2 linked regions of the Daphnia pulex genome follow. Each later gene encodes a partner of the first gene's protein in a complex. Links are inferred from orthologs where the notes say so. Each region holds a gene or a part of one and is shown on either strand. Other genes may lie near its edges.

The links.
Region 2: protein virilizer homolog (region 1) and N6-adenosine-methyltransferase catalytic subunit-like share a complex: the UniProt entries of both Drosophila melanogaster proteins name them as parts of the WMM complex. The link is inferred for Daphnia pulex from reciprocal best matches to the Drosophila melanogaster genes vir and Mettl3.

Annotation. Positions count from the first base shown.
Region 1 is NC_060020.1:7,381,825-7,397,759, forward strand, and holds protein virilizer homolog, read right to left. Parts: upstream 7,351-15,935; 5' UTR 7,267-7,350; coding exon 7,177-7,266; intron 7,104-7,176; coding exon 6,991-7,103; intron 6,927-6,990; coding exon 6,791-6,926; intron 6,733-6,790; coding exon 3,298-6,732; intron 3,236-3,297; coding exon 542-3,235; 3' UTR 77-541; downstream 1-76. Other genes in the region: dolichol-phosphate mannosyltransferase subunit 1-like, read left to right, coding at 7,553-7,653, 7,721-7,820, 7,883-7,993, 8,058-8,468; peptide methionine sulfoxide reductase-like, read right to left, coding at 15,287-15,385, 15,476-15,608, 15,690-15,826, 15,912-15,935. UniProt on the Drosophila melanogaster protein: Associated component of the WMM complex, a complex that mediates N6-methyladenosine (m6A) methylation of mRNAs, a modification that plays a role in the efficiency of mRNA splicing and is required for sex determination.
Region 2 is NC_060028.1:8,115,526-8,131,446, reverse strand, and holds N6-adenosine-methyltransferase catalytic subunit-like, read left to right. Parts: upstream 1-9,165; 5' UTR 9,166-9,338; coding exon 9,339-9,492; intron 9,493-9,548; coding exon 9,549-9,762; intron 9,763-9,823; coding exon 9,824-9,945; intron 9,946-10,008; coding exon 10,009-10,121; intron 10,122-10,175; coding exon 10,176-10,302; intron 10,303-10,365; coding exon 10,366-10,568; intron 10,569-10,638; coding exon 10,639-10,795; intron 10,796-10,864; coding exon 10,865-11,031; intron 11,032-11,110; coding exon 11,111-11,236; intron 11,237-11,367; coding exon 11,368-11,546; intron 11,547-11,677; exon of another isoform or gene 11,678-11,738; coding exon 11,739-11,844; 3' UTR 11,845-11,964; downstream 11,965-15,921. Other genes in the region: protein bric-a-brac 2-like, read right to left, coding at 1,645-2,002, 2,071-2,294, 2,375-2,496, 2,567-2,630, 2,699-3,241, 3,307-3,764, 3,848-4,372, 4,440-4,641 and 1 more; probable E3 ubiquitin-protein ligase RNF144A, read left to right, coding at 12,815-13,022, 13,088-13,230, 13,296-13,427, 13,494-13,554, 13,617-13,885, 13,953-14,012, 14,079-14,199, 14,265-14,323 and 1 more; uncharacterized protein LOC124208557, read left to right, coding at 15,597-15,913. UniProt on the Drosophila melanogaster protein: Catalytic component of the WMM complex, a complex that mediates N6-methyladenosine (m6A) methylation of mRNAs, a modification that plays a role in the efficiency of mRNA splicing and is required for sex determination.

The sequences.
Region 1 (15,935 bases):
CCTTGCTCATGAATTCGGCTTCTATCCCACCTTTTCTCTCTACTATCGTAAAGATTTGACGCCATTTTTCCTCGTGCTAGTCTAGTAGGCCTAGCCTTTTGTCCTAGAAAGCGTTTTGCCTGGTTGCACTTTGAAGTTTGGATCTGATTAGGTGCCGAAGTGTATAGACGTCAAGTATCAGATTATTTGGGGTAATAGAACGTAGGGTGCAATTAAAAGGTACCCATCAGGACGCACATATCGTCGCACACTAGAAAACTAGCAAGAAGAAAAACTCTTTGTACATTTTTACATTTTTTTTTTCACTTTTACCTCTCATCTTGCTCTCACCCTAACCCCTCCCCCCCATCTTTGTCGATGTAATAAATGTGTCGTTCGCGTAGCGGTCGGTCTGTATTTGCAGTGGAAGCAAAACCTCGTTTTTTTTTTCATTTTAAATTGTTACTCATTACATTTTATTCACGTTCAATTTGGTCACAGACAAACTTTTCCGATACAATCATTCTTCTCTTCCTTCCGATTTTCTGCCAGGGATTTTTATTTAGCGAGAAAACGTTCGTGTGTGTCGCGTACGACCAGTTGATGGGGCCGTATTTGACGGCGAACTGTATCGCTCCTTGCTAGCGGTGTTGGTCCAAACACGATTAGTAGACTGAAAACGGGTAGCAGAACGCGCTTCAACCACAGAAGAATGAAGATATGGATCGTCCCACTTGGCTGAGGAAGAAGACGTCGACGTCGAACCGGTGCCGCCTGGACGAGACCGAGCGGCCTCACGTCGGGGTTGCTGAAAATTAAAGCGACCACGTTCACCGGGAAAACCACCTCGGCCTCGATTGCCACTGCCCCTGCCTCCTCCACCTCTTGCGATTTTGGTGCCGTACAAATTGTTGCCAACCCCAGATGATGAGGAAGGTCCACCACCCACAGCTCCGTTCTTTTCCATGGCAACAAAATCGTCGACATGTAGTGATGGTGGACGTGATGTGTTGGGTGCGCGAGAACGGAAAGGATCGTTTCGCCCATTGACGCCAGGTCTTCCGAATCCTCTCCCTCGCATTGGAGCCACATACGGCTTATTGGATTTGTCACGCGCTGTAGATAGAATCGGTCTTCCGGGTGGAGCGTCGGTTGATTGCGCATCCATTCGACCTTTTATTGAAATCACTGTAGTTGCTCGTCCACCAATCTCCGTAGGTTCGGAATGACTCTTACAAAGACGTTCGGTCAAAGCCATTAAATCCACATCGGCACCCAAGCAACTCTGTGCTGTCTCCAGAAGATCGCAACGAATATGATCCGTATCAGAGTCGGCAGGTTCGTCTACCCAGTGTTGATGATTGGATAACCAATAAGAAGAGGAAAGACGATCTTCATCAGTTGGAGAATCACTCAACAGTGGCCGGTGTGCAAACTGGAGATTTAGAGTCTCTGGGAGCGGGATGATAATTTCTATTGCGGTATCTTTTATGGTGGCTGCATCAGAGTCCGAGGATTGAAGAATATTCACCAACGCCGTAAGACTATCTCGTAGGCTTTCCATTGATTCTTCTTCTGTACAGTTTTCTCGTAAAAAATCTTGAAGAACTAACAGTGGATGCTTTTTAGGTTCTTCTACAGAATTTTCTTCTGTTGATGTCGGTTCCATAGGCCATTGAAGAGCTTCTGAGAGTGTGCAGATGGGCACGATAACATTGCGCCGTCCAAGTGCCGCCGCCACTGGCGTCTTCACTAGTGTTCGAAGGAGTTCCAATGCAGTTGACAAAGTGGACACACTATCTGAACTGTCCTTATTGAAACCGCTAGCCATTTTATCGAAGAAGGCCCATAGGGCGTGCCGCTTTCGCTCTAAAACTTTATGCAAGTGCTGGAACGTGTAGTTGTGCTCCGTCAGCAACGTCAGTGTTCGAAGAGTAGGCAAGAGTGACGAGTAATTGTGTTCGGAATTAGCAAGGTGATCCCATAACCCAGACACGATGATTAACATGGGTTCACGGGACGGAAGGGCGGCTGACAAATAAGATTCGTATTCGACCTTATCGGGTGACAAAAGACAAATATCGGCGTCAAGTAACGCCTGGAAGATGGAGACGACGCATTCCTGCGATTGGATGTGAGCCGATGTTGTTGAGACCGAATTAAGGATCAAACACAAACACTGGAGAAATTCGGCGTATTTCTCATCCGATTTCTGCAATCCACGACAAAGCTGCAACACAGCTGCTTTAATTGGTGCATGTGTCACAATGGCTGCTAGAAAGTTTAACACCCGGGCCGAGTGAGCTGTGCAAATCAACGTAGCCGGAAGGAAGGCTACAGCAACATCTTTTTCATTTTCCTCGCTTTTGGCGTTTGCTGGTGGACTAGGATCTTGAATCAGGCAACTGGAAAGGACAGCATCCAATGCGGCTCTAGCTATAACAAGCGCAGTACTGGCCGAGAGATCGGCAATCTGGACACACACTTTTCGCAAGAGCTGTAAAAGTTGCGGGCCAGAGCAGCACAAGAGCCGGACAACTTGCTGCACTTGTGGCCCGAGAGTGTGCAGGTGAACACTCCAAAGTTTTCGGGCGTTGAGTATCTCTTGCACATCTTCTTCAGACAACTGGGTTTCACCTCCAACTCCTTTAAACAGAGGCAATGGCAGTGGGAGAATTTCGTTGAGCACTTGCAATCCTGTGATAAATGAAGCCGGCCCGGAACAAGTATGGACGAATTTTAAAATTTCCTGAACCATTTGCGTCCACAAACTTCGCGATAAAGCGTCTTCTGGTGTGGTAGATGCCTTGATGACACCACTAGTATTACTACTTCGCACGCTATTGCCATCTCCAGTTTGCAACAAAGGCTGACTATAAGCCAGTAAGGTGCCAACAATGTCGGAACAGCACTCGGCCACTTTGTAATGTAGCAAAGATGAAGCCGGAACAGCGCTAACCAGGGCGTACGTCTGCAGTAGGACTGGGACAGCTGTCAGGTCACGAAATTCTCCATCACGGCAGCGGATAAGTTGACATAGTAGACGACGGATCAACTTGAGTGATGGATGGACAATGGAAAGCAGAAGGAAGCCTTGCGGTCCAGCCAGTACGGCCCCATGAACAGCCGGCTGCTCATAGGCTTGACAGAGTTTCAGCAGTATGCTTACTAGCAGACTCAGCATATCGTGACTGAAGAGCTGTACTACGGCGTATGCATATTTGAGTTCCACGTATTCTTCTCCGCTACTTTCTCCCTACGTCCAAACGATTTCGTTAATAAATTTCAATTATGCTAAAGACGTTTAAAATGTCTTACCTGTTGTTTGGGTATGGCGAGTGGACAAAGCAGACGAAGAGCAACAATAAGCTCGGGTGGAAAACTCGCGGCATCATCGGCGTGCTGCTTGACTACGTCGCAAAGCACTGGCAAGCCGCTGTCGAGAGTGAAAACTTGGGGCTGATTAAGGATTTCAATCCAACGAGTCAGATGAGCCAACTTATTGCTATCATCTTGGTTGGAAGCCACCAATCCGATGAGTGATGCACCGTACTTGGCATAAAACATGGCATTTTCCGTTGATCTCACAATAAGTGCCACTAGCTCAGCCGCATATCCACGGACGGCAGATTCTTTCATCCTTATTTCAGTCTCTGCATCACTATCACTTGTCAGAATGTTGAGCAAAACATCAATATTGTTATCCAATGCAATAACATGGATCAGAGCCAACCGGCCTGTCACACTGAAAACCAGACTGTATAGCGATTGGATGCATTCGATGGCAGCTGGACTGTCTTTGTTGTTGTTTATCAAGTGATGATTGAGGACGTCCAGGCACTGTATAATGTAAAGTGAATGGGCTAACTGAACACCCAGCCGATGCGGAGTCATCGATGCATGATGACTAGTAACGTTCAGTTCTTCAACGTTGGCGTACTCGTCGTGACGTCCCTCGACCGATTCAGTGGCTAAACCAATTGATGGATGTCCGTGACCAACAGACGTGTGCATCAAAGCACGAAGGATCAACGTTGTTACGTCTGATTCACCAGAGAGGAAGCAAAGCCCATGATGCGTCATGGCAAAATCCTCCAGAAAGTGGAGCACCATGTCCATGATAACATGATCACTTCCTGTCAATGGATGAGTTGACAGAAGCAATAAAACGCCCAAGAATCTGTGATGACGGAAGAAACAGTAGAGTCCCTGGAGAGGATCCGAACCAGCGTTAGAGATCTCGTACTGACGGTAGACGGGCAGAAAACGAAGCAGATGACCAACAGTCAACTGTGGGTTCAGATAAACTTTTCGAACTTCATTTAAACTGGAAAGTAACTGCGTGAGATGAGGCTCTAACGGATTTTCAGCAACAACATTTGGACATGTGGCATTCGGTGTAGAAAAACTGTCCTGCGAGTTCGAGTCTTGACTTTCAATGCTCATTCCTGAAGGGCGACGAATGTCTTTTCGTCTAAAGCCGTTTGGAGGTAAACGGGCCAGGATTTGTCCGATGTTATGAATCCGCTGCAGAGCTTCGTAAGTATGTATCTTTCGGATGAGTGCGGTCACTGTTACTTGAGCTCTGGAGGGTTGAGTCGCTTCTAACAACTGGACGAAATATTCATAGCCGTTTGGGTACTCCAGTACGGGATTCTTCATCCAATGTTCCATGACGTAGGGCCATGAAAGCAGAGCATCAATGCTACGCAGGCACATTAGCTTGAGCGACTGAGCCATGTGGGGGGCACCGTAAAGGCTCGCAATTTTCGTCAAGACGCCACAATCTACTGAGCGTTCTATAAGCGACTGCGAGCACTGGGCCACCGTCTGCGAGAGTTTCAGACCACATTTGATGTGACGGACCGTATGTGTAGATGGACCTGGTTGTTCGCGAGCATGATCGAAATCTAGGCCGTGAAGTAACCAGTCAACCACTTTATCTTGAATTGATTTGAGCAGATCCGGCTGTGAGTGTAAGTAAGCCAAACCATTCGGTAAGATAGAGGCCAACTGATTCATGCTATCGATCCATTTTTCTCCGCGAGATGTTAGCTCCAGCGTCATCTGGAGTCTCAAAGCAGCGTCTTCTAAGTCTTTGCAAGGTATTCGAGGTTCGGAGACATTCTTGCTTACTCGTTGTAATGTGGTGTCTGAAGGATCTGTAAAATTCTGCAGCGGTTGCAGTTCGACACCGTAAGGATTAAATGTCTTTCCGATTTCAAGAAGATCACCGAATTCATTGATATCCAAATCCGTCATGTCGGCATTATAGTCTTCAAACATAAGGTCTTCATCGCTGAGGATTTCTTCTAGTTCTTCCAATTCTTCGGGTTCGACGACGCTGTCAGGGGCTGCTTCAACTAACACTTCAGTTGAATTGACAACCTCATCTTCAACGGGTGGCTCATCTTTCCGAAGAATGGATTCCGGTTCATTAACTTCGTTTATTTCCTCTTCAACTTCATCAGCGCGAGGGGCTAAACTATCCACTTCCGGCATGTCATCGTCTGATATAGCTTCCATTTCGACACCAGGCGAGAAGCATTCTACAGGGGGTTCATCTTTTTTTATGGAAGCAGGTGGCGGCGGAGGGGGTGGTGGAGGTGGTGGAGGTGGAACTTCAACCGGTACAGGTACCGGTACAGGTAGGACAATAGCAATTTCAATTTTCTTGTCTTCTGCAGGAGTCCGAGGCCGCCTCGAGCTTTCACGTGATCCTCGTTCTTTTGCTCTCTCTTTTTCACGATGGCGATCGCGGGATCTTTCTCGCGATCGATCACGTTCACTTCCGCCACTGCTTCGTTCGCGTTCCTTAGATCGCTCTTTACGATCGCTTCTATCACCACGTCTTTCGCGATCTCGGTCGTTTCTACCTCGTTCGTCGGTTCTGGCACGTTCTGAATCGCCTTTCACTCGATCTGGATCACATTTAACTCGGTCGGAATCACTTCTGGTTCTATCAGAGTCGCTCTTTTCGGTTCGTGTCCGTTCTGATTCGATTCTGTTCCTACCGACATCACCTTTGGATCTATCCGATTCACTCTTCGTTCGTTCAGGATCACTTCTAGTTCGATCTGAATCGCTCCTTTCACTTTTAGTTCGGTCGGACTCGTTTCGTTTTCTATCCAATTCTATTCTGGCCTTTTCACGGTCGGAATCTGTTCTACTACGTTCGGATTCAACTTTAAATCTGTCGGAATCTGGGCGTATTCGATCCGAATCATTTTTGGATCGATCAACATCGTGTCGGCTTCGATGATCACTTCGATTGATACGTTCGGAATCTGCTTTGCTGGTTCGATCGGATTCCCATTCTCTTTCACGGAAGTCACTTGTGTCTCGCGTCCGTGTGAACTCATCACTGCGTCTGCTTTTCTCTCGCACCTTCTCGACTACTTTTTCTTCGACCTTCACTTTGGTTTCTTTTTCTGGTTCATCCTCGCGTTTTACTTCAGATTCAACCACTGTTGATGTCACAAAAGCATTTTCACACTTTATTAGTTCTGCTTTTTCTTCGAACGGAGGGGTGGAAGTCCGTAACTTTTCGTCTATAATTTGATTTGTAAACACTGGCGCTAATTCTGGAACCGGTGGCTGGGCTGGTTCAACTGGAACTGGGCTAGCAGGTTTGATAGGGGCTGCTGGGGGTGGTGGAGGTATACTGATTATTGGGGCTCGTGTAATAACCCCATAAACAGCTAGGGTTACAGTGGTATACCAGCCTCTCAAAACTAAGCCATCTGTTGGTACCTGTAAAATATACTTGGGGTTAAAATGGTTTGTTAATTATGCATAGTAGTCAATTTACTTTTTTATCAGAATCGTAATGAATGTTAGAATTCTGATTGTAATCTAGAACACCAAGTGTCTCAAAAGCAGATGCTCCAGGTTTGCTCAAATCATTCACAAATAGTTCAAGCTTAAACTGGGATGGATTCGTTGCTCTGAAAATACATGTTAATATGTAAACATTATCCTTATAATTTATTTTGTTCTGTCGTAACCTACCCTAAACGCACTCCTCCGGGGAAATCAGCTTGCACTTTGGCGCCTAAAGGTATGACTCGCACTTGATTTATGTACACGGGCTTGGGAAACTGTACCAAATCCAAATTCAATTCCTGCAAAATGTCGCCAAGTTTGAGTTGTAGCCAAATTGATTTATGAATAAACATTTTCTGAATTGATTCAAACCTCTGTGGGACCATGTGCGAACGTATCGAAGAAGAGCAATTCCTCATTATCAATTTTTTTATCAATTATCAATTGTTCTAACACAGACATTTTATACTAGCCGAAAAACTTTCATGAGTAAAATTTTTGAGGGATAGAAAAAAGTTTGAGGGTTCGTAAAAGGTTAATAAACAGCAACTGTCATGGTTTTCTGAAAATATAAATACGACTGCCACTAGAGGGATCCCCAACTCAGTAATCCGCTAGATGGGTCTGGGAGAAACAACCTTTAATTTATAACATTCCTTGCTTCTTGCTTACGTCAACAAGTTTGAATCACACAATTACTTCAAGGCGTCCCGTCAATTTCCAAAACAAATTCAGAAGTGTCGATAAAATGGGAGCTGATGACAAATATAGTGTCCTGCTTCCGACTTACAATGAAAAAGACAATCTACCAATTATTGTCTGGCTCTTAGTCAAAGCCTTTACTGACAGGTAAGGTTGACACTTGCTTGCAGTCATAATAAGATTACAGGTCATAACAATGCATTTTATTTGTTAGTGGATACGATTTCGAAATTATTGTAATTGATGATGGAAGTCCTGATGGGACCCTAGATGTAGCAAAGCAGCTTCAAACCATTTATGGAGATAAAAAAATTGTATGGTAGTGTTAGGCTAAGTATTTTTTTTTCTAATTAGCTATAATATTGTCATATCACAGGTCTTGAGGCCACGAGAAAAGAAACTTGGACTTGGAACTGCTTATATTCATGGAATCAAACATGCTACTGGCAATTATGTTGTGATCATGGATGCTGATCTATCTCACCATGTAATCATCTTTATAAACTTAACCTTAGGGGACATTAATTTTAAAACATTTATTTTCTTGGCAGCCTAAATTTATTCACCAATTTATTGAAAAACAAAAAGAAAAGGACTATGACTTGGTTTCTGGAACTCGTTACAGTGGAAATGGTGGAGTTTATGGATGGGACCTGAAAAGGAAAGTGATTAGCAGAGGTGCAAACTATGTTACTCAAGTGCTGTTGAGACCTGGTGCTTCTGACCTCACTGGTAGCTTCCGCTTGTACAAGAAAAAAGTATTAGAAAAACTGGTGCAATCTTGTAAATCAAAGGGGTATGTTTTTCAAATGGAAATGGTTATAAGGGCTAGACAATTGGGATTTACAATTGGTGAAGTACCAATTTCATTTGTTGATCGGGTTTACGGTGAATCAAAATTAGGTGGGAATGAAATTTACCAATTTGCCAAAGGACTTTTGTATTTGTTTGCCACTACTTAACAAAATTCTTCAAACAATAACTTAAAATACACCTTCTAAAAATTGTTATTGAAATATTTTTGTTGTTTCTTGAATGAGCCATGATATCCATGAGATAACACACAGACCATGGTTAACAAATATAACTAATTCATTAGATTCCCTCATTTATAGAAATAACTAATTATTGAAATACATTTGTAAAATTGAGAACTATCATAATTCTAAAACTACTTGAATAGTTTCAAAATATATAAACTGCTATGGTGGTTATTTCACCCAATAAGCTGATTGCAAGTTCGTTTCCTAGCGTGTCTCCTATAAATAAAAGACGCTGTCGCGTCTTATTGTAAGCGCTCCACAACAAGTTAGTGCATTTGGATCTTCAACAATTCAAAAAATGGAAGGAACGAAATATTTCGCTAAAAACGCTATGCCGCTTTTCTCCCCATTCTTCGTGGTAATGACCATTTACCTAATCTCTTCAATCCAGGCTGTTGAAAACGATACAGGAGGCGATTTTGAGGATGTATTAAGAGAAAATTACAGGGGACCCGTTGCCTTTTTCACCATTTCTGCCCTGTTATTCGTAATCTTGATGCTTAGTTGCTGTTTATATGTAAGCAAACGTGGGAATCTCCACAATCCAGATGCAGTTCCCGTGGATTTCAATTGAACAATTCAAAATTGGATCGATAATTTCACAGTTGATTCTGAACTAATAAAGTTGTAAAACTCTTAACAAATTGGTTAAATCTTATTTCATCAATGATCGATCATTAAAAGACATTAATTATTGCAAGATTTTAGTGCCATATGTAGCACCTCAACCCAGCACCTCAACCCTCAATCTCAATTCTCAACCCAGCACCTAGCTATTTTCCGGCGCTATTTTTTTTTTAAAGCTATTTTGTCAAGCTATGCTGATGCTGACATCTAGCGGAGGGAAAAAGTGTATTAGATTTTTATACGTAACAGGACGACATATGGAATCAGTAGCCGATACTTTTTTCCAAAAGGCATTTTTTTTTCTTTTTCGTTTAACAAAAAAAGGGGAAGAATGGACTCTGACGCCACGTAAATATAAATACTACGTAATAACGTCATATTGTCGAGAATTGAACTGACACAAAGACGCTCTATACATTTCTTTTTTTTTCTTCTTCTTCCGGCGTATAAGTTGTAAAAAAGGGCGGAAGGCTTTACGGTTTTCGTGGAATTTTCTGAATGTAAGGGTTAAACTATTCGTTTGGGAGGGGGGATTTATTATTCCTATTTTGGCAACGTGTGAGAATATGTCGTCGTGCCGAGCTGCTGGTTGCTGTGATTCTGTAGCCAGGGATTTGATCGATATCTATACAGTAAAAAGATGTCAGTTGTGTGCTGCGTTATGTAATAAAAGGTACATACACACATAGTATACCATAACCCTGCTGCCAGATTTATTCGGCTTTTATATATAGTTGGGAGAAGAAGAAGAAGAAGAGAACCCCCATCTATATCCCCCCCCCCTCACCACCCAAAAGCTAATACTCGACTGCTATTCTCGAATTCGCGGCGCGTGCGCAGCCGAGCGTCGGTTTTTATAACAACAACAGGAGAAGGAGGAGGAGGAGGAGGAAAAAAAGGGAGAGAGAGAGATCACAGGGAGAAGATGAGGAGGAGGTAGTGGGGGGATTGGAATGAATAGAAAAAAGCTACGGGCCAGCAGCAGCAACTGCTTTCCCCCCTTCCTCCACCGATGAAACTCCCGTCGATGTCGGACGTGATCGACTGTGCAAACGTTTGTCAAAGCTTAAACAAGCCGACGCCGCTCTAACCCGTCGACCTTTCCCCCTCCTCCCCCATCCCCCTTGTATAAAGAGAGAGGAAAAAAAAGCAATGACGACGTTCCATTGTCCGTGTGCACCGGCCCAGGTTTTTAGGTGTACAGCAGCAGCAGCGGAGGAAAAAGGAAAAACTCGACGTCCCCACCCGCCACCGCATTACCACCTCCCACTCCTCCCCTCCCCCCACCCCACTGTACTATACTCTTTTTAACGTTCTTCTTCAGTAGCAGATTTACAGCTCTCTTTTAGTAGTAGGCGGCTTATTTGTTTATTTCTCTTCATATCTTACTATTCACTTTAAGATTGTTTATGAGCACTAAGAAGCGTCTTGGGATGCTACGAAATCTGACATCAACTAAGAATATTGAAAATGGATGTGCGGCATAGTTAAATACTTAAAGTGAACATGGCGCCATGCAATATTCAGTTAGCCAAGATTTATATTCTGGTAGTTTTCCAGTTTTAAGTTGTGATCTGCCCTTGCTAGTGTCGAAAATGGCCCAGAAGGCCCACCTACGAAATCATGTAACAGAAAATTGTTACTTTTTCTAGATGTTGGTCTGTGCCAGATGGCGGCGTAGCAAGAACACCCTCTAACTAATTGCAAAATCAATATGTATATAAGCGTTTAACCGTGGCTAATAAAGACTGGTAAAAGTCTGGCTTATGTGTGTCTCTTGTACTATGTCGTTTGAATTGAGTCAACATAAAATATATTGCATCGCCCCGTTTCGCCTAAGAGCAATTCAGTTCATTGGTCCAAAATTTGATTTTCCTTTTGTATTATTGTGCATGGATATAATTAGTAAATTTTGGCTCAACATAACTATTTTTAAATCCCGCAAAAGTTTGGCTAGAAAGCTAGTAATTAAAATCAGGTAAAGAAGGTTCAAACTCTTCTCCCGTCAAAGACTTTTATCATGATTATTAATGACCAAATGATGACGTTATAAAATAATAGGATATAAATATAGCTAAGACTCGGTACGCACCTAAAAGTCTGAAATCAAGTCCTCGTATATGAAACTGGATAACTGTATATAAAAAACATTTATGGCGGCTAACTGTTTTTTTTTTTCCCTTCATTTCTTACTATACGTATTAAAATTTCTTATGAGCACTATTAATCGCCTTAAAATGTTACGAAATATGACATAAACTTTCAACTACTAAAATGATTAAGCAGCAGAGGTAAGTTCACGTCGTGAACATGACGCCATCCATTTCTCAATTAAAAACGATTTATATACTGGTAGTTTCCGTAACTCAGTTGCGGTATCGGCTGGATAATCCGAAAGATAATGTCCAATCAAAAACTTAATTTCGTCAATAATGAAGCATCCTTCTTAACAAAACATTGGACGGTAGCGAAAGAGTACGTCTTCTAATCAAAACATAATCAACGCTCACAATGTTAACTACACCTTGGCTTATAAAGCCTGAAGCAACTTAGTGAACCTTTTAAATTTCTTTGGTACTTAGGCGTTATATTTCATATACTTAGAATTAAATTTAAATCGGCCTATTACGCCTATTTGCTATTCAGTTCATATGTCTGAAGTTAGAGATTCTCCTTTTGAATAATTTTTCATGGATATAGTTAGTAAATCTTGGCTCACCACTAAAATTAAAATCACGGTTCGATTCCCCTCTTTTTGGATAAATATAAAAATTGACAGATCACCAACATCCTATTTATTTTTTTGTCAGAAATGTTGTCGTTGTCGTCGTCGCCTTAGATTTGTTATCGTTCTTGATTATTCCCCTTCAATTCGTACACTCATACGTTTTTCATCCACGTGATTTTTGACATACGTATTTATTTATGCCCATGCGCGTGAGTGGGTGATATTTGTCACCTGATGAGAGAGCCAGACACGTTATTACTTGCGCCTTTTGATTTGACCAACATGGGGAGACGCACTCACACACGCTCCCGCTCATCCGCTAATATGTGATAAAGGATTTGTGATATTGTTAGGCTATATTACCACATCCGAGAGTAGAAACGTTTCATCGCCTATTGTGTCGCTGATGCAAATAATATGACAAACACGCAATCATTGTTTTGCAATAATATGTCGATCGCGTTTTTTGGCTACAATTACGAAATGATGAGTTTTTGGGCTGACATTTGTTGTTTGAATTTTTTTGTCAAGAAGCTGTGGCGCTCTAACAGCCGGATCAGGGCCTAGTTTTTCAACACGGCATCATATATATTCTATCCCCTATCCTATTTAGCTGCTGATAGATTGAACCCCTGGACCAATCGTATAGGCTGGCCAAACAATAAAGAAAACTATAAGGTTAAATCTCTTTCCTTTTGCTTTCTAAGTTCCACCGGCTATACAAAATATTGGGAAGATTCTATACATTCAAAGAGAAAAGCCATATTTTATACCGATGCGGCTGCTTTTGTGTTGCTGCTGGAACCCCCCTTGACGAGTTTGCGCACATTGTACATATGTGTGTGCCTCATGTTGAGCTACTGATTCCCCCTTCCGTGTGTTCAAAACATGTATACATATTAGATAAGTTGCTGGCCGGTTGCTGGACAGAAGATCTAAAAGAAATAACCCCCGGAGAATTTAGAGATGCAGTTGTCTTCTCCGCTGGATGGGTTTGACCCCCTTTTTTTAATTCTATGACATCATCAGGTCCATTGGCACGCTTCTTGTGTCTCTGTCTCTGTGTTTTTAATAGTCCAGTTTCCGTTTATTTGAATGACGCGCCTTTTTCTTTTGGGCGCTCTCTGTGTGTGTGTCTGTTTCCGAGCGTGAAAAGAGGGGCTTTCTTCCCTGCATTTCATGCTGTTTGCGCACACAAAGAAAAGGGAAAACATTCCTCCATCATATAAGGCCGCGGCCGCCGCTGCTCGGGTGACTAAAACAACGTCCAGCACAGCATCAAAATAAATTGCTGCATGTGCTGGGCGTCGGGTGCTGGTGCAGACTGTGCCGTTGGTCAGCGAGGGACAGCCGACGAGAGCCAAAATCAAAAGGAACTTTTGTCTTTTTCGTTTGTTGCGCTGTCGATTCGTCGAAATGTCCGCGCGTCCCGTTTCAAATCCCAGCAATTGGCCGTCTGGTTTTTCTGTCGCTTTCTTCCTTTTCAAGTATTTTTCTAGAGACGCACGTCCCTTGCTGTTGTATGCCGCATAGTGCCGCAGACCAATATTTATACACGCGGCCACTCCTTTGTAGAAAATTTGAATGAAAGAAGAAGAAAAAAAAACGCGTTGCACACAACCTCAGACACAGCACAAATGCAAACCCCGACGACTATAAAAAAAAAAAAACAGAACGGACATTTTTCACTTGATGTCTTATGTTACACATTTAAGTTATGAATGAGCATTAACAAGCGTTCTAAGATTATTATGAAATCCTATGTTTTCTTACAATGGCCCCAAGGGATAAGGGACATAGAAGAAGTTTACAGAGCGTACATGAAGTAACTTAGTTTTTTACTGTAAACTAGTTGATATTCTGGAATACATCCAGCTAAAACTTGAGCACTTGAGCGCTTCGGATTAATTTAGAAATGTTGTGTAGTGCCACATTTATCAACGTGGCTGTAAGTAATGTAACTTGATTAGCACGATCCGATGTAAAGCGGGAGTTCTATTGAATTTAAAAACACAAAATCAACCTACACATAAATGAGAAGCTATAACGAACGGTGAAAGACTCATCAGTCTTTCTAGCTCATTTTAATGGTTGCGTTTCTTTTCAATGCACAAAGAAATTAATCTACGGGAGTCCGTTACTCCTAGGCAACTCAGTTCATTAATCTAAAATATCATTTTACACTCATGTGAATGTAAATAGAAAAACCTTATCTCATCACTAAATATCCCTCTCCTTCCAGTAACACCCGAACTGAAATTTCTTCATCTTTAGATTTTTAACAGTCTGACTAGTGGACATGGACATTACAAATTTTGTTTTTCAATCGATGTGTTACGTATTACTTTTGAATTTTAAATGTGCATTAGCCAGCGTTCTAAATATACCATGAAATCCGATGTTAACTAACAAATACGAAAAGAGTATACATAGGGACTGAAGGTAGTTATGATGGTGATAGTGACACTACTCTATGTTCAAATAAAAAAAACTTACCCAAACCTTATAAAAGCAAATTATTGAATATTGTGCGATAAAATTCCAGGCGTTTACACAAATAACTTTTTTTTGTAAAAGAAAACTATTTCATTCAATAATCTTCTATAAACCCTGACTTTTGGACATGCAGTCCCACAATGCATCGCTCAGTAGCCATAAAAGAGGCGCTACGTTGCGTATCAAGTACAACTTGAATGCTATGGCGTACATCAACATGACTCCAATGTTTACTCTTTTATGGATCTTATTATCAACGCTTTCAGAAACTCTTGGACAACCTGACACTTTCCAAGATGAAATAGAGGAAAGTTGGAGTTGGCTTTCCGGGGGTGTGTCTTTTTTCATCACTGGGTTTCTGATTAATATCATTATGATCCTCCTCCTCTTGGTAGCATGCAGTATTGCCGACAACTTGCAGAAAAGAGAATCGGGACAAATCACAAATAATGCCCTGTAAGAAAACCAAAATTCGCATGACACACCACAGCCCTAAAACTCATCAGTTCTACTTCCTTGCAAAAACTACTATGTATCGTGAGAGAAGAAATAAATTAAAAATTCGATAAACTTAATGTAGGCTAAATAGTTCTGTCAATTTACTGAACCAATGATATCTGAGGATTCCAAACTCAAAAGAAAATGTGTTAAAACTTTTTGGTTTAATATCAAGTTTCAAATAGGCCATAAAGATATCACCATCATTATGTATTTTTCTGTGTTGAAATTTGGTTGAATTCAGAATTGCGAAAATATCAACGAGCAGAAACTTCATAAAAGTTGATTCTGTTCGAATCATACGTATTCCGTCAGAAAATTTCAAGCACAAAATACATTTGGCGTAAAACTACTACTATGGAAAAAGGCATAACATTTTTGTAAAATACTAACAATTAACCCGACTCCCCTTTTGCATGGCCCTTCTGATGTAGTCTGCCATTTTATCATCAAGGTGTAGATTTGGCAATTCGGCTTCGAAATTTGCCTGCGAGAAAAATATATTTATATTTATTAAGTAGTGTTTATTGTTACGTATTACAAGGTAAAATTTAAATGAAGATGTAATGAAATTTACCAAAGTTCCATATCCACCAATATAACCATTCAGACGAGTTGCAATGTTTGAATTATTCAATTCCGGCCCTGGTGAAATATCTAGCGCATTCATGAGCCATGGATGTTGTTGTAACAAATACTTCTGGTGATAACTAAAGAAAAAACCAAATAAAATAAAGCATATAAAACCAAAATTTAATTACAAAAAAATAACTGCACATAGCAAGACTTACTCCTCGGCTTCATAGAAAGTAGAGGCTTTTAAAATTTGCGTTTGAATCGGTCTCGCTATAACCTTTTGTGCCTGTTCCAATGAATCAATAGCTAGCCTTTTTTGCTCTTCGTTGTGGTAAAAGACGGCAGACATGTACTAAATCAAGAATTTTAAAATGATTATTTATCAATAGCATATCAAAGAATAATAAAAAGGACTAAAAAATATATATAATTTCAACCTGCCGCGTACACTTCTGAGTAGA
Region 2 (15,921 bases), on another chromosome or scaffold:
AACACAAGTTGTTTGTCGACAAATCATTCTTCATCCAAGAAATGCAAAATGTTTAAAATTGCATTTGCAAAGTGAAACTTGTTGACTTCACTTTACGTGAAATAACAATGATTAATACTGCAGCATGATGTACAGTTCCAAGAAAACTTGTGAAAATATGAATGAAATATGATGTTTACCATGTTTTCTAATATCTACATGATTGTTTTCCTAATAAACTTGAAATGATTTACTGACAAACAACTTTCATTATGTTGTTCCACAACTTCGATTTGGTTTACCAAAATGTTTTCACATTTCAGCACAAATACTTTCCAGATTGACTTACATAAAGCTTGTGACAACTAGCAATACATTTAATCATTTCAAATTAAATTTTACCTTTAGCTGAATATTGAATCATCCGTTTTGAACCTTATCTTAAACTTTGTAAATAAATGCAGACGACACTTTTCTCAATTTTAACTATTCAAAATCAAACCCTTCCCCCTTAATCTAAATTGCAAAAACGATCAAAGCGGTTTTCTCGTCCGCGTTTGACATCCGCTGAACGGATCAGAATTATTTTAGTATCAAATTGTTTGTCTCACCTACTTAGACAAGATGAAAGTAAAAATTTGCATGAAACCCACAGATAATTACTTCAATAACGAAATCCGCCACGATTAAGCCTCCAGGACCAATTAGAATTAAATTTAAATTTGTTATTTCGCCTTGACCGTTTGATAAAAAGACTTTCTTTGGACGCCATCTACATTTTCAACAGAAAAATAGTTGTGTGTATTTTCACTATAATCAATCAATCGCGCGCGTTATTAAATTTCATCCTTTTCTTGTACGGAAACATAATTTTTTTTGTGTTTTTTATTTTTATTTTGTTCACGGGAAAGAGAAAGGAGGATAAGGTGTGTGTGTGTTTTGAATATTGAAATTAAAATGTGGAGGGGATTGGGGTGGGAACTGGGTCCGGGAGTAGAAATGATTGCTTTCTTATTTTCTTTTATAGGAGATTCATCAAACACGCACACACATGTACAAACTCACACACACACACACACACTCAAAACAAGTTTTTTCTCGACTCTTCAAATATTTTTCTTTTTTTTTCTTCAGATCCAATTGAAAAGAAAACTAAAGTAAATCCATTTTTCCGCATGGCGGTAAAAAAAAGGTGAATAAATTCCGATAAAATAAAACGGAAAACAAATAATTGCTTTTTTTCTCGTCCAAAATGGTGGAAAAATAAATAATTTTGTTTTCGTTTTTTCTTTTTTAAATCAATCGATTAGAGGCGAAAAATCGACCAAGACGTGATTGAACCCATGCTCACATCTTGATTATTTATATATTATATTATATATAAACTCGATCGACACAAGTTCCAGTGTAACCCTCCAAAAATAATAAATTTTTCTTAAATTTCGGAAGCGAATGTGTCGTGTGTGTGGTTGTTTTTTTAAAAAAAGGGAAAAAGGAGCGGAAATGATATACGTAGATGCAACACATGCACAACATTTGTTTGGAACCATTCACCTGGTATTAAAAAAATATAGTGTGTGTAGGTGGGGGGTAGAGAAACGTAAAAAATAAAAAATAAAGAAATTGTTGGTGACCCCGCCCTGATCGGGAGACTCGAATTTCAATTTACTGCGGATAGGTGACAGCACCGGACGATTGGCTCGACGAGTTAGTGGCGTGAGACTGGCTGTGGGCGTAGGCTTGATAGTCCATTGTGAGCGGGACGGGCCCGGTCGACATGACGGGCAAAGTCATCGTCACGTGACCAGGTACGTGGCTCGTCAGGTAAGGTGTATGAGAAACATGACCGCCCGGGTTGTAGGACGACGGAGAAGGCGACGGCTCGCCACCCATTCCCTGTTGCTGCTGGTGCTGAGGAGCGTGACCCTGTGATGTCGGCGAAGGAGTCACTCCACCACTGGCTCCTCCGCCACTGCCGGCCGCAATCATCATAGGATCGTCCTCGTCCAAATCGTCGTCGTACCTGTTGAATTAACAAGGGACATGTATCATAATGAAGGAGGGAAAAAATCAATTTCAGGAGCCACTTACACATCACCATCGTCAGGAGGCGGCCCACTTTCGGCCAGAGCTGCTTCGTAACTTTCGCCGGCCTCTTCTGCCGCTTTTATCCTCTTGATGCGATTGTACAGTGACGAATAAGGGACATTAAAGTGGATGGCTGCCTGATTAATGGACATTTCCCCCTGCCGCACCGCTTCCATAGCGTCCGTCATGTTCGTGTCGGACCACGGTCGATCCCCGCTATAACTTTGCTGCAATCGAATAAAAAAGAAATGAATTCCCACGAAAAATAAATCGATAAAGCTAATAAACGACAAAAAAAGCTCTTTACCTTATGAACTAGTTCGATGCCTTCCCGCTTACACCGGCCGTAAAGCGTCCCGGACGGAATGCCAAATTGTGTAGCTGCTCTTTGGACGGACATGCCACCTCGAATTGCTTCAAGTGCTCGACCTTTTTAATCAATAAAAAGCCCATGAATAAAGTAAGAATCTAAATTTTTGATGAAACAGCTGGAACACACCCAAGTCATCAGGACTCCAAGTCGTCGGCGAGGCATTAAATGGAGCTGCTAATTTAATTCCCTCCTATTGATCGACGATTGCAAATGAAAATATCATATTGGATAAGTAAAATGCAATTAGAATTCAATTACCTTTCGGGCTATTTTGTACAGGGTAGAGCTAGGAATTCCGTACTCCTTGGAAGCTCTATTGGCTGATATTCTGCCAGCTCTGAGTGCATCCAGCGCTAGCCGGAGATCATCTTCGGACCAATGTCTGCTGGAAGGATCTTTCTTCATGGGTGTGTCAATGCCGAGCCGGTGGGCTCGTTGCCATAGTGTTGTGGATGGAATCCCAAAGGCGGCGGCCGCCCGCGTCAAACTCATACTGCCGTTACGTAAAGCGTCCAGGGCTGCTTCCATGGCTTCCGGTGTGTACATTTTCTTAGTCGGAGCATCGTTGACCGCATTCATCGACGCTCCGCCGTCGCTACCACCGCCAGCAACACTCGCAGCGTCTCCATTGTTATTGCCGATGGGCCCGTCGGTCGTGTTCTGACCGCTGCCACCTGAATGGTGTCCCTGGTGTTGCTGCTGATGCGAATGTGGGTGATGGCCGTGCATGGTAATGTGCGACGGAATTAAGCCCAAAATTTCCGGCGTCACCGTCAACCCTCCTCCATCGTCATGGCCGTTCTAAACAGGACGGGAAACTCGATTAGATTACCGAAAGTTTAGATCGAATTAGCTAATGAATTTACCCTATCAGAGTCATTGACCGACGCTTCACTCCGAACGGCGGATGCGTGAGGAAATTCCCCTCCGCCGTGGCCTCCACCAGGCTCCGTTTTAAACGAACGGTCCTGTTGTTGTTGTTGTTGCTGCTGTTGTTGACCCGATGAATTGCCGCCGGCGTTCCCCGGACTGAAGTTGTGAGCGTGAGATGCATGTTGACTCAGGTGATGCTGCCATGGACTGGGCAAATGGTCAAGTGCCACTGGACTGTTGTAACCTCTCGTGTCGTAGAGATTTGTCGTTTGCGGTTGTGAATCAAGTGATGAGGGTGCAGAATGTACGGGGGTATTCGATGCTGAAGGATTGGCGTGATAGCCGCCCACATCGCCCCCACCTCCCCCTCCTCCTCCGCCCGGATTACCCTGTAGTGATTGTGGCGTTTGCACCATCATCGAGTCGTTGTCTTGGACTAAATCGACCGAATCTGACCCAATTAGAAAAACACAATGACACAAATATGATTTGATTTTAACTACTGAAATTACGCTAGGCAAATGCGATCGTTACCTTGGCTACTGCTGCCCTGTACAGTACTCTGATTGGAACCTGTGGGTGACGTTTTGGAAGGCGATCGACTGGGCCAGGAGCCTCGATAGGTTCCTCGAGTTGGACGTCGTACGCCACCACCCGAGTTAAGCCCGGCAGCTGCTGCATTCCTTTTTTCTCCACTATTTCCAGTCCATCCTCCACGACCGGAACCAGAAGAACCGGAAGGTCTCCTTCCTCTAGGCCTACCCCTGTAGGACGGCGAGTACGAAGGCCTCTGGCCCTGACCACTGTTCTGTCCCGGCGAAATTAACTGATTGATGGGCTGGGTCATTGTTGCCATTGAGACAACTGTGTTGTTGGGTACTCCTAGGGAAGCTGCCACAGTAGTCATTGAGGAATCGTTGACCACATTAGTATAGTTGCCATTGTTTCCCGGGCCTGGGCCAGACTGGTGATCTGCCACAGGTGGGAGTGGCAGTGTGTGTGACATCACAGAACCCACTGTTTGAGTTTCATTCTGTTGCTGTGACACTTCACATAACCCTAAATAATAAATGACATTTTAGTTTTAATTAAGAAAATAGCCATGAAATGATTTCACGTTGCATACCTTTGATTTTCAATAGTTCTGCCACTCGAACTATCGAAGAGAGCTGGTCCCTGGTTACGTAGGTTTCACCTCTGTAGATGAATTCAACAATGGCTCTCAAATCGGCATGGCCCACACCCACAGGAAGAATCAGCACAGGGTGTTTGCAAGGATTGTCCAACAGCACACGCTGAAAATAGGGGGAACAGGCTGACAGAACAACCTGAGCAACAAGCCAACGAATAAGTAAACCTTGAGCGATAAATTGGAAATGTATGAGGGTTATATACTCTGTGAGCTTTGATTCTGGCACCATCACAGGCCAAAGTGACATCGACAAAGGCCTCTTCAGCCAGTAGCTGGTTTATCACTGACGTCATATTGCAGTGGTAATTGTTCCATCTCAAACAAAACTGGTCCCCTATACCCAAAGCCATCTGCAAAGAGGAAAACACAAGAGTTTACATATAAGAAAGGAGAAACTGACACAACACACAATTATCAACTTTTATCTTTTGTACAAATCACAACATCCCCATCCCCTCATTCTCATTCTTCTTCTTCCTCTTCATCTCTTTCTTTCACTCCATTCTACCCTCTCCCCAACCAACACTTGACATCAGACACACCTGCCAAAAGGTGAAAAAAGTTATGATAAAGAACCCGAAAATAGTTCACCTCGTTCGTTATGTCAATCGAGTTATCCGTAATTAAAAAATGGAGGATTATCCAGAAATTGGGGCCACACACACACACACAGAACGGACGACGCCGAACCGAGAGGTAAAGCAGCTGGAAAAACGGATCAACAACACACAAAAAAATCCAAAATGGCAAAGCGACGCTTATCGTGTCCAGTCAAAGAGAACGGAAGGTTTTTTTTTTATTATTTTTATTATTTTTACTGAAAAATATCCGACTTGTGTGAGAATCTGTCGGCCGGGATATTTCGTAAGGGTAACAAGACCTTACACGCACACATATACACACACACACACACACACACTGATTCTCTGACTTTTGACGCTGTTCTTCTTCCCCTTCTCTCTCTTCTTTCTCTTTCTCTTCTTCGTTTTCTTCTTTTACTCTTCAACAGTTCTCTACCAGACACAGGAGTAGAAGAAAGCTTTTCTGTGCGAGATCAACGGGGATGGGAGGATTAAAATAGAGATGACCGTTCTCAAGCCAACGCTCATGTCTAGCGGCCGACCAGCGCAACTGCAAATATCCGTTAGCCACCAACCGCTCTGCTTACTCTTTTCTACGGGTTGGTTCGCAGAACCGACACTTGTGGCGCTGGGAATGAATAATTTAACAGAACTCGATAGTGGCCGATCTTTGTTTTATTTAAACCTCCTCTCTATTCCGATGTGTCCCCTCCCTCATTCCAAAATGGCGGGTTACTCTCCCCGGTTATTTTCCTTTGTCCTCGTTTTCATCAACCCTCCTTCTACCCACTTCCTCTCGGCACTTTTTATTTTTTTCTGAATTGCTATCGGTGATAGATTATGATTACTACACGATTCCCTATTTCCATTCTCGCGTGACTTGTGAACGCTATGATTTAAAGTAGCTCAATTAATAGTCAACTTTGTTGCTTTACTTTTTTATTATTAATTTAGATTTTCTGTTTTCCATTTTCCATTTGTGTTTACTTCTAAACAGTCAAACAGTCTTTACCACAACCGGCCTACGGAATAATAATAACTAGTTTGGCTTAGAAAAATATTTGACCGTTGAGTCGGGAAAACCAGTTATGGAGAGGGGAGAATGACGCGGACCGCACAATCGCCCTTTCTTTTCGTGAACGGGCGTTTTCTATTGCTCGACTTTCGACTACTCCGCCACCCGTATAAGGCATATTCATTAATCTACTAAAGTTCATCTAGTAGATTTTCTTTTTAGAATAACTACTGTCATGGTGGTGGCGAAAAAGAAATGTCCCGTTCGACGCCATCTGTGAACGCGTAACTAACTACACCAATTTTGAAAATGAGGTCAAATTTACAAGGAAAAACAGCGTCAAATCAGCTTTAAAAAATTCTTGTGACGCGTGTTCAAAAGAAAAAGTAGTCTTGAAGTGAGAGAAGTCGATTAGAAGTCAAGTCATACCATAATATCCGTGTCATCGACGCTATTCGGAAGGGTCTATCGTAAACAAGCGGGAGGGCATTGATCTCGACGCACTACCTTCGTTTCTCTTGTGACCATCGATTACAAGAAAATTAATTAGATTATGCCCTTCGTGCGTCTATCGGCTTGTACGAATCTGAGCAAAAGTACCTAGGAGGTAATACCCTTTGCACGAAGATAATCATTTACAGGGAAAAGTTGGGTAGTTCAGCCATCTTGTGGTTGTTAATATGTTTGCACGGATCACAGGAATCGAATCATTTCTGTACATCAACGATCGGCCTACTTGAATGTTTTCTCACTTTCCCCATCTAATCTAATTGACGTCTTAAAATTCGATACATAAATAAGATAAATGGGTGTTCGTAGATAATCACATTACACCAGAAGGACTAGAACCCATATCTAATAATGTAACTTTAGCAATAAATTCAACTTAATAACAATCTTGATGGAAATTCAATAGGACAATATTTCCAGTGTAATATTTTCATATCTCAGTTAAAATAATAAACACTGATATGTTCAGCCCCCATTAAATATTTCAATTGATCTAGTCTTCATAAACCCAAACTTTATCAGCTGGCTGCCATGAAACAAGTTCTTCATCCTTGAACCACAAGGCAATTTCCTTGTTGGCACTCTCAACAGAGTCAGATCCATGCATGATGTTCCTAATTAAAAGAAAAATTTAATATGTGGTGTAAAGTTATCATTCAAAACTAGTCTTACCTGCCAACTTGAATACAGAAATCTCCTCTGATGGTACCAGGCTTGGAGTCAGCAGGGTTGGTCTCACCCAACATTTGACGGCCAGTCTTGACAATGTTCAAACCCTCCCAGACCTGAAAGTACATTGCATGTATTAAACTAACAGTTAATTGCAGCTAAAAAAATTATTTCTTTACCATTGCAACAACTGGTCCAGATGCCATGTACTTCACCAAACCAGCAAAGAATGGGCGGCCAGACAGGTCAGCATAGTGTTTCTGCAACATCTCCTCAGTAGGCTAGTGACACAAACAAGTTAAAGAACAATCAGAATTAATGGCAGATCCAATTCCTTATAATTAAGAAGTGATTCACACATACCTGGACAAATTTGAGTGCGACCAATTTGAAGCCTTTCTGTTCGAATCTTTTGATGATTTCACCGACGAGTCCTCGCTGGACACCATCGGGCTTGATCATCAAGTAGGTACGTTCTTGGTTTCCAGACATTTTATTGAAACTTACTTTTGATCGGGACTGAAATTAAAGGAGAAGACCGGCTGACGTACTGGATGTGACTAGTGACTTGAAAGTTCCAACACGACAAGAGGAAGGACGTCCTAGCAGACGACTTCTAACCAACGTGAACGAAACGAAAGTTCCCGAACCGACACTAGTGCCACCTTTTTATTTATAAAAATATGATATGCAAATTGGATCGGTTTACGTTACCTAGTGAATGGTAATGTTAATTTTTTTTAATAACATGGATCCTTGATCCGTTTTTGTACTTTGCTGCCCTTGCCAATTTCCAGAAAAGGCCATCTAGCGACCGTCTAAAATAATATGGAAATTTAATAGGACAATATTTTCAGTTTGATATTTTTATATCTCAGTTAAAATATTAAACACTGATATGTTCAGCCCCCCTTAAATATTTCAATTGATCTAGTCTTCATAAACCCAAACTTTATCAGCTGGCTGCCATGAAACAAGTTCTTCATCCCTGAACCACAAGGCAATTTCCTTGTTGGCACTCTCAACAGAGTCAGATCCATGCATGATGTTCCTAATTTTAAAAAAATTTAACATGTGGTGTAAAGTTATCATTCAAAACTAGTCTTACCTGCCAACTTGAATACAGAAATCTCCTCTGATGGTACCAGGCTTGGAGTCAGCAGGGTTGGTCTCACCCAACATTTGACGGCCAGTCTTGACAATGTTCAAACCCTCCCAGACCTGAAAGTACATTGCATGTATTAAACTAACAGTTAATTGCAGCTAAAGAAATTATTTCTTTACCATTGCAACAACTGGTCCAGATGCCATGTACTTCACCAAACCAGCAAAGAATGGGCGGCCAGACAGGTCAGCATAGTGTTTCTGCAACATCTCCTCAGTAGGCTAGTGACACAAACAAGTTAAAGAACAATCAGAATTAATGGCAGATCCAATTCCTTATAATTAAGAAGTGATTCACACATACCTGGACAAATTTGAGTGCGACCAATTTGAAGCCTTTCTGTTCGAATCTTTTGATGATTTCACCGACGAGTCCTCGCTGGACACCATCGGGCTTGATCATCAAGTAGGTACGTTCTTGGTTTCCAGACATTTTATTGAAACTTACTTTTGATCGGGACTGAAATTAAAGGAGAAGACCGGCTGACGTACTGGATGTGACTAGTGACTTGAAAGTTCCAACACGACAAGAGGAAGGACGTCCTAGCAGACGACTTCTAACCAACGTGAACGACATTTCCCGAACCAACACTAGTGCCATCTTTTTTTTTATTAAAAAAAATATGATATGCAAATTGGATCGGTTTACGTTACCTAGTGAATGGTAATGTTAATTTTTTTTAATTACATGGATCTTTAATCCGTTTTTGTACTTATTGCTGCCCTTGCCAATTTCCAGAAAAAGGCCATCTAGCGGCCGTCTAAAATAATATACACTGAAAGCAGAATGAAAACAATCTGGCTGCTTGTCTGACATTTTCTATCATATGCCGGTTTGTTTGTGAAGTTTTGTTGTTCTTATAATCCCTCACATTTATTTTGATTTGTTCCAAAATGTCTGACGCTTGGGAGGAGATTCAAGCTGTCAAATCAAAAAGAAATGAACTTAGAGAACGGTTACAAAAGAGAAGAAAAGAAAGAGAAGATCTCCTTGGAGGAGGCGATTCAACTTCAACTGTTAAAACAGATAGCAATCAAAAATTTTCAGGTAAATGAGGTTCTAGAACAATGATTCTGATTTTTCAACATTTCTTTTCTTTCTAGATGAAGCATGTGAGATAAATCTGTCAAGTTCCAGCAAAGAAGCCAATAAAGATATTGAAAATTGTGTTCTCAGGATATTAACCGATGCCACACTTTCCTTACCTTCAGATTCCAGAATCATTTGCCATAATGTTTCCACTCAAATTGGATATCTAGTTTCACACACAATTGTCAGTAATCTTCTCCAAAAATTTGCTGCTCAAGAACTTATTAGGTTTGTGTTGTGTGTACACATTTGATTGAGAATCCATATTAAGTATTATTCCATTTCAAAGACTTGTAGATGGCATACAGGAAAATCAGCCAGTACTTACCATCACACATGCTGAGCATGCTCGTCTTGTTGCTATGGTTACTGAAGATCAGTTAGGAAATTCCATATCCTTGAAACGAAAGCGTAATATTCTGTAAATTTATACTACTTTCCACTCTTTGGAATCTAATCATTGCATCAAAACAGAAAATGAAGTGGAAGCTGAAGAGTCGGCTTTACCAGCACAAACTGTAACAGTGAAAGAAGATCTATCTAAGTCCAAAAGAGAAAAAAAAGATTCCAAAAATGATGATGTCATGGTAAAATACATATGTTCACTGTTTTAATACTTATATAACTTGTTGTTTCCTTAGAACTTGTTATCGCTTCCGTCGACACGAGAAAAAGAAAACAAGAAAATGGGCGAAGAAATTCTGGATCTTTTGTCGAAACCAACTGTCAAAGAAAAATCCTTAGCAGAAAGATTCCGTTCACAAGGAGGTTAGTTGACCCTTACGCGACAAATTTTTTTTTGTTACTTTGATTATTAGTAATTTTCTTTAGGGGCTCAGGTTAAAGAGTTTTGCGCCCACGGAACTAAAGATGAATGCCGTAAAGTTTGGATGTCTGAATCAGATGACGGTCTCGAAAGCAAATGGAATTGCCATCGGCTTCATTTTCGTAAAATTATACAGTCACACACAGACGAGTCACTTGGAGATTGTTCTTTCTTGAATACCTGTTTTCATATGGAAACGTGCAAATACGTGAGCTTGTTGCGCAATGTGCATTCCCCCTAGACCTTCTCATTTAAATTCATTTTCTGGAAAATGTTAGGTTCATTACGAGGTTGACCAAGCCATTAAAACAAAGGATGATTTTGAACCCGGCTCCTTGCTCGGTCAGGCAGTGGTCTCGCGAGGTGAAAGCACTGTCCTGTACCCAGCTCAGTGGATTCAGTGTGATTTACGGTCATTGGATATGGCCATTTTAGGTATATGCAACCTTATGTACAGGTCCCATGGTTTTTTTTAATACTCTCTTTTTTACATTTATGATTCAGGTAAGTTTTCGGTTATCATGGCTGATCCACCGTGGGATATTCACATGGAACTTCCATATGGAACCCTTTCTGATGACGAGATGAGACAACTGAGCATTCCTATCCTTCAAGATGAAGGATTGATATTCCTCTGGGTTACTGGTCGAGCCATGGAATTGGGCCGAGAGGTATCATTACATTTTTAAAATAGTTGTTCAACATGTAGCAAAATCAACCAAGTGACTCACGCGTGTTCTCTCTCTCTAGTGCCTTCAGCTATGGGGCTACGAACGGGTCGATGAAATTATTTGGGTCAAGACAAACCAGCTACAAAGGATTATTCGAACAGGTCGAACAGGACACTGGTTAAACCATGGGAAAGAACACTGCTTGGTATTGACGTATTTTCTCACCCTACTACACCTTGCGTTTTAATCACTCTACTAAGCTAGTTAGTAGTTACGTATATATTCTACGAACGTACTTTCCAATACATGCGTATCTGGATTTTTGTTTGGTTATAGGTAGGTATGAAGGGTAATCCCAGAATGCTGAACCGCGGACTGGATTGTGACGTCATCGTGGCCGAAGTGCGGGCAACCAGCCACAAACCAGACGAAATGTATGGCATTATTGAACGTCTCTCGCCCGGAACGCGCAAAATCGAGTTGTTTGGAAGGCCTCACAACGTACAGCCAAATTGGTGTGTTCATTTACTTGACCTTCATGCATTACGTACTCACTGTCCTTCAATTCCGTTCTGCCTATTTGACGCCCGACGTAGTATTTTTGCTCTTTTCCTTCTAATATTTTGTGGTTAGCTTTTCATGGACGCTAGTAAGGAAATGAGAATTTTATCACGTGCAAGTAAATGACATTGTTACATGATATTTAGGATTACCCTGGGAAATCAACTCGATGGTGTCCATCTGCTTGATCCAGACATTGCCCGAGCCTACCAGAAACACTATCCAGATGCCAGTGCCCCCAATGCCAAATGAAATTTGCGAATCGCTCCGAATTACTTTTTTCCGCATTTTCAACGTTCATTCATTTTGATCCACCCATTTTTAATAAGTGTCACACACCTCGATTGCGTAAAATAAAAAAATTAGAAAGAAGAGAATGATAAACTTTGTTACTGGATACTTTTTGTTGCACCTCAAGAGGCCGTTGTTGAAATTTGAACGATTTACACCGCAAAAGTCCGCGACTTTACCATGCATTGATCACGTGAATCATGCCTTTTTGTTCAACTGAGATCGTCAAGTTGAGAAAATAAAAATTATTCACTGATTGCATAACCGGAAAGGGGAATCGTTGGAATCGCATCATCTGTATGAAGAAAACTAATATCAAATGTTAAAGCAGGCTAGCCTAGTACGACTCAAAAACCGGGAATACATAACAGACAAACAGTGGGCGTTTTAATCGATACTTTCCTTGAATCGATGCTCGTATCGCGGAGTTGCCCTGAAGTAAAGCTGGCCGCGCATAAAGTCAGCACTACCCACTAGCAGTTCAGTTGGAAAACGAAATCTTACTTAGTCAGAGGTGGTTACCAGTCGCAGTACCGAATGTAGTTAGAGGGGAAAGTTAAATTTTTTTGACACACGCGTCCTAATGACGAGCATTTCTAGTAAGCAATTTTAAACATTTTTTATTTTCGTGTAAAAAAAAAAACATTTTGCTGTTTGGTTGCTAATACGTGATGTACCTTTTGTGCAGTGTGCACATACCCATTTTTTCTGTTTCCTTAGAATTGACAGATTCTGAGCCATTTTATCTCCCCAAGGACGACTTGCTGATTCGTTAAACATCCCCCAATCACGCGATTGTTTTCTCGTGTTTGTGAATCCTGTGAAACCACGCGAGGAAAATTACTGCGTTCTATTTGACCTTGGCTTTTATATAAAACCAAATAGAATAAGAGACTGTAGGAGTGCCCAGAACCATCAAGAAGTAACCTGCATGAGTAACAAAATGCCAGGGCTCAACAAAATCATTGGACATCACCAGTCCTTAAATTCCAGTAAAACTGAGAAATCAGAAAAATGGCATTGGCCAGGATGGTTAAAAAAAAGGAAGCCAGCTCGAAGTTCAAACCAGTTAGTACCAAATGTAAGCAATGTTGTGCCTCGTGAGTATGAAGAAGGCATGCCTAGTCATTCACAAGGAGGTAATAACACAATTTTGATATCTTACTGTAAGCTTTGCTTAATATGGGCCATTTCTATCACACAGGCTTAGTCATCAATCAACAAAGTCAGGATCAGATGGAGACTATGGAAGATATCCTTCAAGACGATCTGGTTTGTCTTCTTTGTCTGCAGGTCCCTAATGAGTGGTTTACCTTAGAATCCTGTGGTTGTAGATTTTGTCAGCAGGTAGGTTTTTATTGATTTTAAGTTCTGCAGTGGAAAGCTTAATGTTATTACTGTTCATATTTTAGTGCATGGAGATGTATGCTCACTGCAGTATTAGGAGTGGAAATGTCCCTATAAGTTGCCCAGATGCCCACTGTTCTCTAAACGAACAAGGAAAAAATAAACAAGGAGGGTCCAGTCAACTCACTCGCAATGAAGTAGGTGTTGGAAATTGATCAAGCTCTGTTAGGGGTGCTAAATTTTCAATACCTTTTATATCTAAGGTGAGACAATTGGTACCCAGTGATGTGTTTCCCCTTTACTTGAGACTGCAACTCAACACAGGTAAATTGGCTAAATGTTCCCTGAAGAATTCAACTCATTAACAATATCCTTTATAATTTCAGAGGTTGCAGTCGATCCCAGATTGATGTGGTGCCCACGCCCCGGTTGTGAAACTGTATGTACTTTAACAGAAGAAGTTTCTCATAAAAAGACGAAGAGAAAGTTTTTCGGCTTGTTACCTATATCCCGCAATCAACGCAATCAAGCGGTGGTGTGCTCCTCCTGTCAATTTTCTTTCTGCTCGCAATGCAAAACTCCTTGGCACATTGACTCACCATGTCCGTCCCTAAGTCGATTACTCTCAGATCCGAACAAAAACGTGCACGATCCGGTAATTATATACAAAAGATTTAATTGCTATGTCCTTGACTTGACAGACAATTTAATTGTGATTGCAGGACGACCCGATTGTATTGCTTGAACGTGATGGCCACATTAAGCGATGCCCATTTTGCCAGGTTAAACTATTCGAAAATTGTTTTGTGTTCAGCTTGTTAACCTTTGGACACCATTATTCGTTATAGGTTCCCATCGAAAGAGACGATGGTTGCGCTCAGATGATGTGCAAAAATTGCCGACACGTTTTCTGCTGGTTCTGCTTAGCTTCTCTCGACGACGATTTTATGTTGCGACACTATGACTCAGGTATGTAAACTTTATTACTCTTCCATCTGTTTGCAGTAGAAAGTTTATACCTACTTCCAATTTAGGTCCGTGTCGGAGTCGTTTGGGCCATTCCAGAATTTCAGTCGTTTGGCATAGAACACAGGTAGGAGTTGTAAAAAATGTTTTTTCAAAGTTACTTTATGAAGGACGTATCTTTTAAGGCCAATCTTTTCATTCTGATAGGTGGTATCCGCGTTTTTGGGCCTCGGTGTATTGTTTCTCGTGACATCGCCGTTACTTTTGCTAGCTTCACCGTGTTTCTTCTGTTGGCGCCACCATGCCCAACAGAAAGAGTCTTCAATCGTGCGCAGTAATGTAGATTCAACCACTGCCAACTTTGTTCCCTCATCAAGTCAAGAGCATCTTTGACGATTCCTTAATATTTGCCACTAGGATGATGAAATGATTTCGACTATGCTGTCACCAGTTAAATTTTGTTTTCATTTTCGTTCAACAATTAATCTCCTTGACTTTTCGTCCGTAAGTGCAGAACTATTGTGTCGATATAGTAAGGTTTTGAACAGTGATACGTACCTTTTTGACGTGCTCAATTCCTAGCGTGATTTGTATCGGATTTGTATCCATACCTTACTTCTCATAATATTTTCGTGCAAAACATTTTTGCTTCATCATTGCCAATATGTATATGACGCTGTGCAAAATTAATCAAGTTATAAATAAACGTTAAACAGGTTATTCGTGATTTTCCATCATCGATTTTAACTTGTGGTAATCTAAAGGGAATGCTCACAGTCGGTGTAATCACTCCAAAGAAAAATTTCTAATGAATCCGTTGCGCACAAGAAAGGAGCTTTATTGTACTGCTGGTGGAAGAAGCAAAGGGGGGAGTAAATCCTTGCAGCTAGAAAATGACGGATTAATTTTCAATTGCCTCATTCGGCCGCTTTCACGCAAGGGGTTGAGAGAAGGGGATTTGAAAAGAACCCACTGCCTCTATTGCACACAAAGGAGATTCGAGCCAGCCCGCATGGAACCAACCAACTTTTGTTAAATCATCCACAAATGTTTCGATTCGCCACATTTACAGACTTGGCATATCAATTTTTCTTATGCGTATTTCTCGTAATTTTACCTAAGAAAAAGACATTAAATTTAACTAAAAATATACTGAAAATATAGCATTGTGATATAAGCAAGGAATCTTTACGTTACGAACCCGTGTTCCTTCTCAAGATCTGTATTCTATACGACTCCCTAGTTGAACAATTAATTGCGCCCCACAAAAGAAAGGGGAGAACAAGGCGGGTAGTGAGTGACGAAGGATCTATCAGAAGAGATTGCGCGCGCTCTACATCAGGGACATATGCTCTATAGAACGGACTCAATTTGAGCTCAGTTGAAAGTTGGTGTTGCCTATGAGACATCATCCATTTCAACAAAGTTTCCAACCAGTTCCAATTTTCGAAAAGATGGAGAATTCGCCGAAAAAATTAGTCAGACGAGGTGAAGCACCTACTGCCATACCGTCTTCGATGACTGATGTCCGCTTCGTGCAAAGTTTACTCCTAGCAACACCGCTTTATTTTTACTATCCGCACTTGACCCCACCAGGATTTTTTAGCGGACTGTTAAAAGGGCTAGTTCAAATGCGAAATGCAACCGAGGAGCAAAACGTATCCGTCGAGTGTGGCATCGATCTAACAAGCGGCAGAGACGTCAGTTCAAGAACAAGGTAAATTA